Drosophila melanogaster: one gene and its partner. The protein of the gene in region 2 purifies or fractionates together with the protein of the main gene of each other region. This does not show direct contact. Each region holds a gene or a part of one and is shown on either strand. Other genes may lie near its edges.

Region 1 (5,290 bases), 8.9 Mb from region 2:
ATTAGCAGTAAAAAATCCAACATCGCGCCGCGTAACTTCATTATTTTTTTCAAGTGTTTTTAAGAATTTTTTTTTTTTTGAATATAAAATATTGCAAGTGAAAGCAGCAGCAACTATTTTTGATTTTAGCAAATTGTGCTGTTTCTCAAAAAGTGTTTATGACAAAGTGCTAGAAAAACCGGAAGGACCACATATATATAATATACAAAAAATTACAGAATTTTCGTATTTTGTGTTTGTTGAGGATCACTTAAGTGCCCCAAAAGGTCATGTGTTTTTCTAAGGATTTTAATCATGCATAGCCAAGTTAAAAGTCTTAAGAGGGAAACTAGTGATGTTGCGTTTTCCAAGGACAACTAAAGTCATTCAAAGGATATTGTTTATCATTTCGAAAATGCATAATGTTTCATGTTTCATTTGTACACCATTTTATGTTTGAATTTGTGTGCTTACTCATTCTTATTTACAAGTGTTGACAAGTTCTAATAATAACATTTCGAAACCACGAAAGGAAAGATTCAAATATCCAGTGTTTTGAAGGATTGAAACTATGTTTTTAAGAAGTTAGTTGCAGTTATAAAGAATGTCAATTCCGAATTAAGTGTATAAATATTTTAGGCAAATTTTTAGTAGCTAGGTAGTGGCTATTTATTGCAACAGGCCCTCAAAAAATAATATGTAACTAATATTGTAATGTGTTTTCTTAAATTGTCACTTGTCCTGAATTTGTGAATTGATTAACAAGTGCCAAAAAAAAAACCCAAAAAAAAAAAAAAAAAAAAAAACTGCAGCTTAGACATCAGATTAGAAATTGCCGACGGAATATCGCAGAGCTCTGTTGAAAATATTCTGAGCGGAATTTTTAGTGCATATTAGAACTCTAAATATTAAATGATATTTCAATGATTTTTTTACTGTTTCTTTTTTATGTCAATTTGGCAATTGCATTGTATTATTTAAAGTTTAAATATTTCCATACTTCAATTTTAAATGTATTTGTATTATACTCAACTAAAACTTTTAAGGTTTTAGTGTGAAAGTAATTGTAATTAAAGATTACAATTTTCGATTTTAAATTTTGTATGAAAATGAATTAAAACGAATTGCCACATTTTTCATTTAGCCTTATTCATGTGCTTTACTACTAATTTTGTGGCATGCACATAAAATCGCACTTTTTTTTAAACCAGTGAATAAACATAATTATTTAAAAATGATAAGTTCATCATTTTTGTTGGAAAATGTATTAAAACTTGTTAGATTTATTAAAGCAAATTTATTGAATTTAATAAAAAATTTAAAAGAATAGTTTCGAACCTTGTTTTTTTTGTTTTGTTGAATTTATCAGTTTTTAATATTTTTCTTGCAAACCATTAAAATCGATCAGATTGCATTCCGTTTTAAGATTGATAAAAATGATAGTTTCAATTTTATTTGAGTGATTTGAGGGCATATATGGCATTATTAAAAATAATGCACATTCAACTAGAGTTCTTGTCCTGCGTATTAATTTGTTGGACCTTTCTTTGTCCTTTTATTTGAACCCCAAAAACTTTCGGGAAACATATGGCAGACGGTTGTGTGAGTGTTTGTGGGTTTTATTTTCTGAATGATATGTTGCTGCACTCGTACAGATTACGCATACGCTGCGTTGTCCACTGCGAAGAGAGAGAGAGAGCGAGCGAGCGAAAAGAGAGAGCGCCGCACCGTGCACTTTCTGCGATTGAGTGAAAGAGAAAAAGTGACTCGCGGTGGGAAACGAGGTGCATTTTGGCTCAGCTTTGCTGCGTTTTTCACCGACGCTGCTCTTTTACGAAGCGCGTGCGGCGCTCTTAGTACAAGCACACACCACTCACACACACACACACACACACACACACATACGTATGGACTACGATGTGCAGGGGCACCCACACATAGGCGAACGGGAATCACTCGGCAATACGAAGCAACGCAGTCGCAGTCGCAGCGCTGCCGCCGCGCTGCCAACGCCAATGCTCTTTGGGTTTTGGGCTTTTGGCCAGGCTTTTTGGTTTTGCAGCTCTGTCGGCTTTGGACTTTCGCAGAGATTTCACACGCGATGCGATTGCAGTTCTTGCAGACACTTTCATACGTTCGTTCGTGTTTATTTTCGTTAGCCTTAGCCGCAAACAGCAAATAAATTACATTTTGCCAAGCGACAAAATATTCAAATATTTTACGAATATTTGTACGGAAAATATTTTGGATTCTTTATCGTTTATTTTTTTTTTCTTCTTTATTTTTGTGCGCGGTTTTTGGAAACACGAATTTCGAGTAATAGGTCCTTTTGCATTCATTTCTGTCCTTCATTCATGAAATTAATTTTTTTTTGAATTTTTTTCAAGTGCTCTGCGTCGGTTTCTAACACTAGTTTTTGTATACTTTTTCCCAGGCATAAACTTAAACACAACAAAAATGTTTTATAAATATATTATTATAAAATAAAAAATTACAAATAAATGAAGTAACAGCGAAAGTTTTTAACAAAGTCAACAACAACAACAACCACACAAAAGAAGCAAGAAAATCCTTAAGCGTAATTTTTTTGTATTTCAACAATGCAACAACCACAACAACTACATCTACAACAGGGGCAACAACTGCAGCAGCAACAACAACCGCAAGAACAACAACATCAACAACAACCACAACAACCAAATGAAACAACAACTCAAGGCGGCTTTGCACGTGTGTGTGTGTGAACAACAACAACAACAACAACAACAACAACAAAAGCGACAACAAGCTAAAAACTTTAGAAAAACTTACAACAACTTTTTTGGACTTGGAGCATTTTTCGAAATCTAAACAGCCTAAAGTAAATACCGAAAAATATCCCGCAATTATTTTGTGTTTTTTTCCCCATCTCAAAAACTACAATTTCATTTCAAATAGAAAAACGCAAACAATTTAAACAAAAAACATGCTCTAAGGTTGTGTTAAAGGAAATTAAACCTATTTTGCACCTTAATTCTTTGATTTCAACAAAATTACAACAATTTTTTCCAAGTGAAAAATTTGTGCGAACCGCAGAAAACAGAAAAGTGGAAATAAACAAAAATCAAGTCAAATTTAATTCAATGCAAACAGCAAGTGCAACAACAACATCAACAACAACAACAACCACAAGAAATTCACCCAAAACATCAACAACAACAAAACCAACAACTGCGGCAAAGGCATCAACAACAACACCAACAACAAGAAGAAGAACGAGAACAAAGTTTTGAAACTGCGGTGTTTGGCGTTTATGGTGAGTTTTTTTTTACTTTTCAAACAATTTTTCAAATCATCGAATCATTTATTTGGCACTTCGTTTGCGATATTATTTTATCAAGTGTTTGCGTGGGTCAAAAATCGAACACGAAGTGCTACTCGATAAGAAAAGTGTTAGGTTTGGATGAATTTTGGCCATAAATGGATTAATAGCAAAAGTGTGAAGTGAGAGGAATGGAAAGTGTTGGACAAAAACTTGTTTGCGATTAATTTTGTCCATAGAAGCCTTGAATAAACTATAACTTTGAATTGCAAAAAAAAAACGGCGTTAATTAAATAAAATATTTGCAAAATTACTAGCCATTGGTGACTTAACTAAAATAAGGTGCTAAACAATTTAACTTTGATAAGAAATACACTTTAGGGTCATTGCTACTATAAATGTATGCTAGATATAATATTTTTGATTATATATATATAATATTTGTATATTATTATTCAGACAGACTTCAGTTATTGCTGATTATAAAGAACTTAATCGTAATGCCTATAGTTAAGTGTGAAGATAAACATAAGTTAGTTGATATAAAAAATGGCAATAAAACACCCAGACGTATACATAACTCTATTCACGAATCAGTTTTGTTACCCTTTCCATATATATATATATATATATATATATATATATTTTTTTTTTATCAACCGCTCTTTTGGCGACGACTGTAGCACTTCCCGTTTGAACCGGATGCGCTTTTGGAAAAATTTGCTGAATGTTATCAAATATGTAAAATGGAAATGCACTTTTCTGGGCCACAACAACTGGCAAAAAATAAAATGCATATATCGACAAAGCAAAAAGAGACAAAAAAAAAAAAATAAAGAAATAAATAGTAAGCCAATCAATAAATTGGCAAAAAGAAAAGTAAGTTAACTAAATGCTTGGTCAGTTTTAGAAGTCGCCAGCGAATAGAATCGGCAAGAAGAAAATTCTCGAACTTCCGGCGCCACCAGAGGCGCCAACTAATCATCGCTTTTTTTTTTTGTTTAGCTTAGTTAATCAGGAAATTGGGCAAAAAAAAAAAAACGCTAAAGAAATTGGAAAACTTTAAGATTCAACTTGAATAGATGACATGTTTTGTTAGCACTATAGAATGTTATAAACGTAGTGTAAGTTATGTTAGATTTTATTTTAAGTATTATAAGCAATATATCTCCTTTATATAGCTACGATTTGAAACGAATATAATTTATTAAGCTTATATAAGTGTTTTGTTCTAAAATTAAAGTGGATTTTTTTTTTTAAGAGAAGTCTGCACTTCATGTAATTAAAAACCCACAACACAAGACCTTAACAAGACGAAACGCACTGTCTAGCTTCTTAGCGCGCCTTATCCTCATTCCCATCGCTGTCTCTCGACTTTATCGCAATTATAAATATTTATAAGAAATGAGTCCATACAAACGAATATCATTCCCATTGCACTTGGTGGGGGGTTTTTGAGCGCCGTTTTAATGGCTTCTTTCGTGTTTTTTTTTTTTTTGTTTCTGTTTTGTTTTTCAAATAGTATTATTTTTTATTATTTTTTGCCATACTGCGCAGACGCAACAAGATTTGCAAAATATTCTAATATCATATAGTATATCATGTTTTATTTTTTGACATTTCCATTTCGTTTAATTTCAGTTACATTTTCGTTTGCAAAAATTCATTACAATTCGCGTAATTGCGTTGCCTTTGTGTGGATATTGTTCGTGTGTTTTTCTTCTCTTTTTTTATGTGCAACAGTTTTCGCTCGTGTGTTTTTTTCTAATTATTTTCCGCGAGTGTGATTGTGTGTGTGTGTGTGTGAGTGTGCCTGTGAGTGCAACTAATGAGCAACTGCCGGTCGACTTGCCAGCGGTTGAAATTATTAACTCATTATGGGGTCTCGGGTGTTTTAAGTGCCTCAAGTCAGCCTGTTTTGTTTCGTTTCGTATTTTTTCTCCTCTTTTTTTGTTGTTGTTTTTTTTTTTAATGGCTTGCGTGCGTTTTTTTTTGTTTGTTTGTGCATCT
Region 2 (4,968 bases):
TTTTTGAGTGAGAGTGAAGTTGGCGCAGGAACAATGCAGCAACAACAACGCAGGGGGGGGGGATGTTCTTCAGAAGGCTCCACCGACCGAGAAGAAGAAGAGCCAACGGAAAACCTCTACTAACGCCAACATCATGACATTAACATTGCCGCTGCCTCAACGGCAAAGTCACAGTCAAAGCCAAAGTTAGCAACAGGTTTTCTGTGCCTGCCACTTCGGCCTCAGATTCTCAGAGCCGCTCTTTCTCCAATTCTCTCGCGATACACATCGATGCACGGAAATAAAATGAGTTTCAGATAATTGAATTACAAATTCTACCGATTATTTTCAATCAGAGGCCAACATTTTAAAAATGTGTTATTTCTTAAAATTTTAACTTGATATGAAATTAAAAAAAAAAAGGATTAAGTTGATCCTCAGTTTTATGTTATTATTCTATTAAGTTTTGAAGGGGCAGCGCACTAATTTCTTATGGTGCACCTCTCTCACCTGCGAACGAGGCTTCGTTTTCAGTTTCGGACGTGAGTTCGTCTTCGTTTTTACCTTCGGCTCGTTGCTCTCTCTCTCTCTACCTCCGCACACCAGCTCAAAGTTAGCTGTAAATTTGTTACGTCGCCGCAAAAGAGCGTATGCGTGCGTGTATGTATATGAGTGTGTGTGCCACACAGGTGTGCGACGCTCTGAATTCGCCGTCGCTTACATCACTTGCTCTCCATGTGTGTGTGTGTGTCGGTGAAATAACGTTAGTTATCCGTTGGCAGCGCACCTGTGCGGGTTGAAAAGAGATGGAGCTAGGCCTTCTTATTTGCCATTCTAAGCGCATTCTAAGCGATCTTCTCTCACACATACAAACGCATGCGCACAAGGATTTAGGGGAAGGAGAGAGCTGGTGAAAGAGAGAGAGAGAGAATGAGACGCACACCTGAGAGCGAGAAATGCCTGCGTTGCCAACTATTTTGCCGTTTAATTTCGCTTATATGGGTACATTTTTCCATCTTACTTGCCGCTGTTGCTTCTTCTTATTTGGCTCGTTATTTCTTCTTATTGTATTTACCGCGGTTCTCTTTCCATCGTTGTACACAAACACACTCGCACAGATATAATAATGATGAAATTCTTCAAGGGCCACAATCATGCCTCCTTTTTTGGGGTTCTTTTTATCGAAAATCAAATGACTTAGGAAACAAACTAGCCAGAATATTTAATTATAATTAGGAGGATATTTAAAAACATTATTTGCAAACTATTTCATTTAAACAAATCGTTTTAATAATTGATATCTATTGATAGGCTTAAGAACATTTAAGAAAAATATCTATTTAAATTTAGCTTTAATTCAATTATTTTAAGATGTGCTGTAAATACAAAGTCCTTAGTTCGAAAGTACAGTACAAAATTAACAAAAAATGACCGGAACATAAATATTTATATTGAAATTTTTCTAAATTTTCTATTAATTTGCCAATCCAACCAAATTCTAAGTACCACAAGTACAGCTCGCGGTATCGGGTAAAAACGATCTCAGCCGGCAAATGGCCAAGGCGAAGATTCTTGATCATGAGCGTGATCATCATTATCATCACTACCTTGACTCTGAGGAGGGAAAGAGAGGGCGCGTCAGAGAGACAGAGAGAGAGCGCGAAACTGCATGAGAAACGTTATGTGAGCGAAATGAGGCAACGCACACAAAACACTCTCACTCTCTCTCACACAGGTGCGCTTGGTTCGCCGTTTCGCCGCTGTTTTTCTCACCTGAGCAACGGCGAATATCTCGTTATTTTCTGACTCATACGAAAGGGAAGTTTCGCTCTTTCTCTCTCTCTCGATTTACGGTGTTTTAAATTCGCCGTCTAACTGAGTTTGTTGTAGCGGCGAGATCGATCGGTTGACTTTGGTTTGGCCTAACTGACTACCTCGAATACAGTAAGTTGCGAGCCGGCGTTGTGAATGCACGTGTTTTCGCTTAACTCACCTGGGCGAATCCCAAAGACCAAAGCAAACCATTAAACTCACATAAAACAATACAATTTATAAAAACGAAAACACTGTGTTGTGCATCAATCAATATAGTAATATATTGAATTACATCCATACAAAACAGAAACAAAATTTTTTTTGAGTAATATTTTTTACAAGTGCGCTGAATAACACAAATAAATCAAGAACCCAACAAGTGTTTGAAAACCCAAAAAATAAATTGGGAAAAACAAAAATTTCTCATAACCGAATATTTTTTTTTTTTGAAAACTTGGGGGAAAAATCAACACTTTTTTCGACAAGTCACCGAAAACTTAAAAAAAAATTGATTTTTCAAAAAAAGAACCAAGACTCGACACTGCCGAAAAGGCAATATTTTTCAAGTACATTTTTTCGAAGTGTTTTGACAAAACAAAGCAAAATTCTCGAACCAAAGAACAAAATCACGAAAGGACACCCCAAAACAATCCCTCAATTATAATTGACTTGACTTTGACTTGCAAAGCCGAAGAACTTTCAAAAGACATGAAGAGGGCAAAACAGAAGTTAACTTGAGCTCGGCTCATGACCAAATCAAAACTGAAATCAAGCAATTTTTTTTTTTTCAACACAGTGGACGAGCGGCGAACAAACATACACACACAATTGGATTAGTGTTTTGTTTATTTCGGACCCACTGTAACTGTCCCTCGTCCACCTGAAAATACGAAGAAATTCGTCGCCTCCTTGAATTCGTCGCGTGTCGCCGTCGCGTTTCGTTAAATCGCTTATCGTTCATCGCAAATCAACCGATAATCCATCATGCCGAAGATTTTCCTGATCAAAAATCGCCTGCATCAGCAGCAACAGCGCTTGCTTGAATCGCAAAACTTGCTGCAGCACAAGAATCAGGATGATGAGCGCTTGGTGCCGCCCCTCAGTCCAAGTGGGAGTGGTAGCGGCCCCTCGCCAACGCCCACATCCCAACCACCACCGGAACCGCAAGGTCAGGGGCAACAGGTGCTCGGACAGGTGCCCGATTCAGATCAACAGCCACTGAGCCTCACGCGCAAACGATTCCACCATCGTCGTCACTACTTCGGACAATCGCGCCACAGTCTCGATCATCTCAATCAAAATCAGAGCCCGAATCCAAATGCAAATGCAAATCCCAATCAAATACAAAATCCTGCGGAATTGGAAGTCGAATGCGCCACTGGCCAAGTTCAAAATGGTAAGTTGAACTTTTCTAAAACAGAGTCTAAAAATCTTTTCGCTGCCTTATACATAAATACACCTTTAGGAGCGATTAAATTTCCGTTTGCCAAACCGTTGTCACATAAATGCGTTCTGTTACTTGTTTGGAATACTCGAAGCACAAAATATCAAAGAACAACGCAAAGAATTTTAATTTACTTGGATAAATAATTGCTACAAATCTGTCAGTCAGTTTTTTTTTTTTTTTTTGGCCGATGGCAAATCGGCTGGCAATACAATGCGCCATATCTATTGCCTGGAAATCTTTTCAAATTTCAAGCTTCACTTTTGGGCAGCTTTTGTTATTGCTTTTCGCCCACACCATAACGAACTCGTCCCCAGTGTATCTTTGTATCTTTGTATCTATATCTGCCCTGTCTATCTTCCATTCTCCAAAACGGAGCTATGGGTTTACTTCGACATCAATCACTTTCATTGAATTTCGTAAGCGTATTATTTCGTTTTATTTATTTTTTTTTTTTATTTTGCCAAAAAAGCCAAGCAGAGTTCTCATGTCTCTGTTCTGATCTCTGTTTTCTGTTTTCAGTTTTCTTTTTATTTTCTGTCTGTTTCTGTTATATAATCGCCCAGCATGCTTATTAAGTCATTTCGATTTAGGCGGTGGTCTTAGGTTAAAGGTTTAAAATTTTCATAAATGATTAGGCGAGAAGAACTTTCTTCGTTTTCGGGGCGAGTTTTATTAATTAAGTTCTTTTCGATTTTATTTGAAAGTGAATTTCGTTCAGCGTTCTTTTGGCGTTTTTTTTCGCTAAAGTCTTTTGTTTCTAAGCATTTTTTAACTGCCCTTTGTCTGGCCTTAATTATATCTATATTTTTATGCAACCATTATGGCTCGACTTCACTTCAAGAGTAGCTTCTCTCACACGCAGCCTCATAATTTTGCCCCTTACGCAGGCATTATATTTCATGGTTATAGCTTATATATATTATTTTCACGGAGCGCGTAGTTGAGTGCTATATACAACATTTATTAAATTAAATAACATGTTACGTTCTCGGTTCCTCCCGGTTTATCGCCAAGCCAACCAAGTTCCCTTCATCATCTCTATCGCCCATCCACTTAAAAATGTATTATGAACGCTTCCGCTGTATAATTTTTATGAGTTCTGCGGATATTGTAATGGAAGTTATTTGAAGGGAAATCGTTTCGCAACGTTATATTCTCAAAGAAAAAATTTTTAAATTGGATAGAATTACACAGAAGTTGGTGAGCTCATCGGATTCGCATAACTTCATAACTAACACTTTGAAGTTTTAAGTTCCAACTTTGATCAATCTATGCAGGATTTAATATTATTTAGGTCTTGCACTCTAAACATGTGTTCTCATGCTGCTCTGATTTCAAAGAACCCTCTGGTCACACTGCTTGTTCACTTTTTTTTTTTTTTGTTCAATTACCGCTCGCTGTTCGTGTTTTTCTTGGCTTTAGTGGGCTGTGCCCATGGCCAAGAACTTCACACACTTGAGCGCACACTCACACACTAGAGCGAAGCTAGAACGAACGAAAAAAAAAAAATTATATAACTACCAAAGTACAAGGTACTAAAAGCCAGATACAAGAAAAAATCTCCTCTCAACCACGCAAAAGTACAAGTTTTGCCAGAAGATGAAGAACCAAAGCCAAAGCAAAAAGAAACGGAAAAAGAAAAAGAAAAGAGTGCGGAGCAGAAAAAGAACTTCATTTTGTTTGGTTTTGCAGCCTAGACTTGAGCTAAAGTTCCAACTACACACAAT

What was found.
Region 1: the proteins of ovo (region 2) and mamo purify together in Drosophila melanogaster (affinity purification with western blotting, with the first as the bait; one study listed by BioGRID). This does not show direct contact.

Annotation. Positions count from the first base shown.
Region 1 is NC_004354.4:13,983,198-13,988,487, reverse strand, and holds the start of mamo (maternal gene required for meiosis), read left to right. Parts: upstream 1-2,045; 5' UTR 2,046-2,117; intron 2,118-2,413; 5' UTR 2,414-3,274; intron 3,275-5,290.
Region 2 is NC_004354.4:5,046,353-5,051,320, forward strand, and holds the start of ovo (ovo), read left to right. Parts: upstream 1-1,920; 5' UTR 1,921-2,778; coding exon 2,779-3,190; intron 3,191-4,968. UniProt on the Drosophila melanogaster protein: Transcriptional regulator with essential functions in the germline and soma. Plays an essential role in regulating the formation of apical cell extensions such as denticles and aristae, and initiating cytoskeletal remodeling during epidermal differentiation.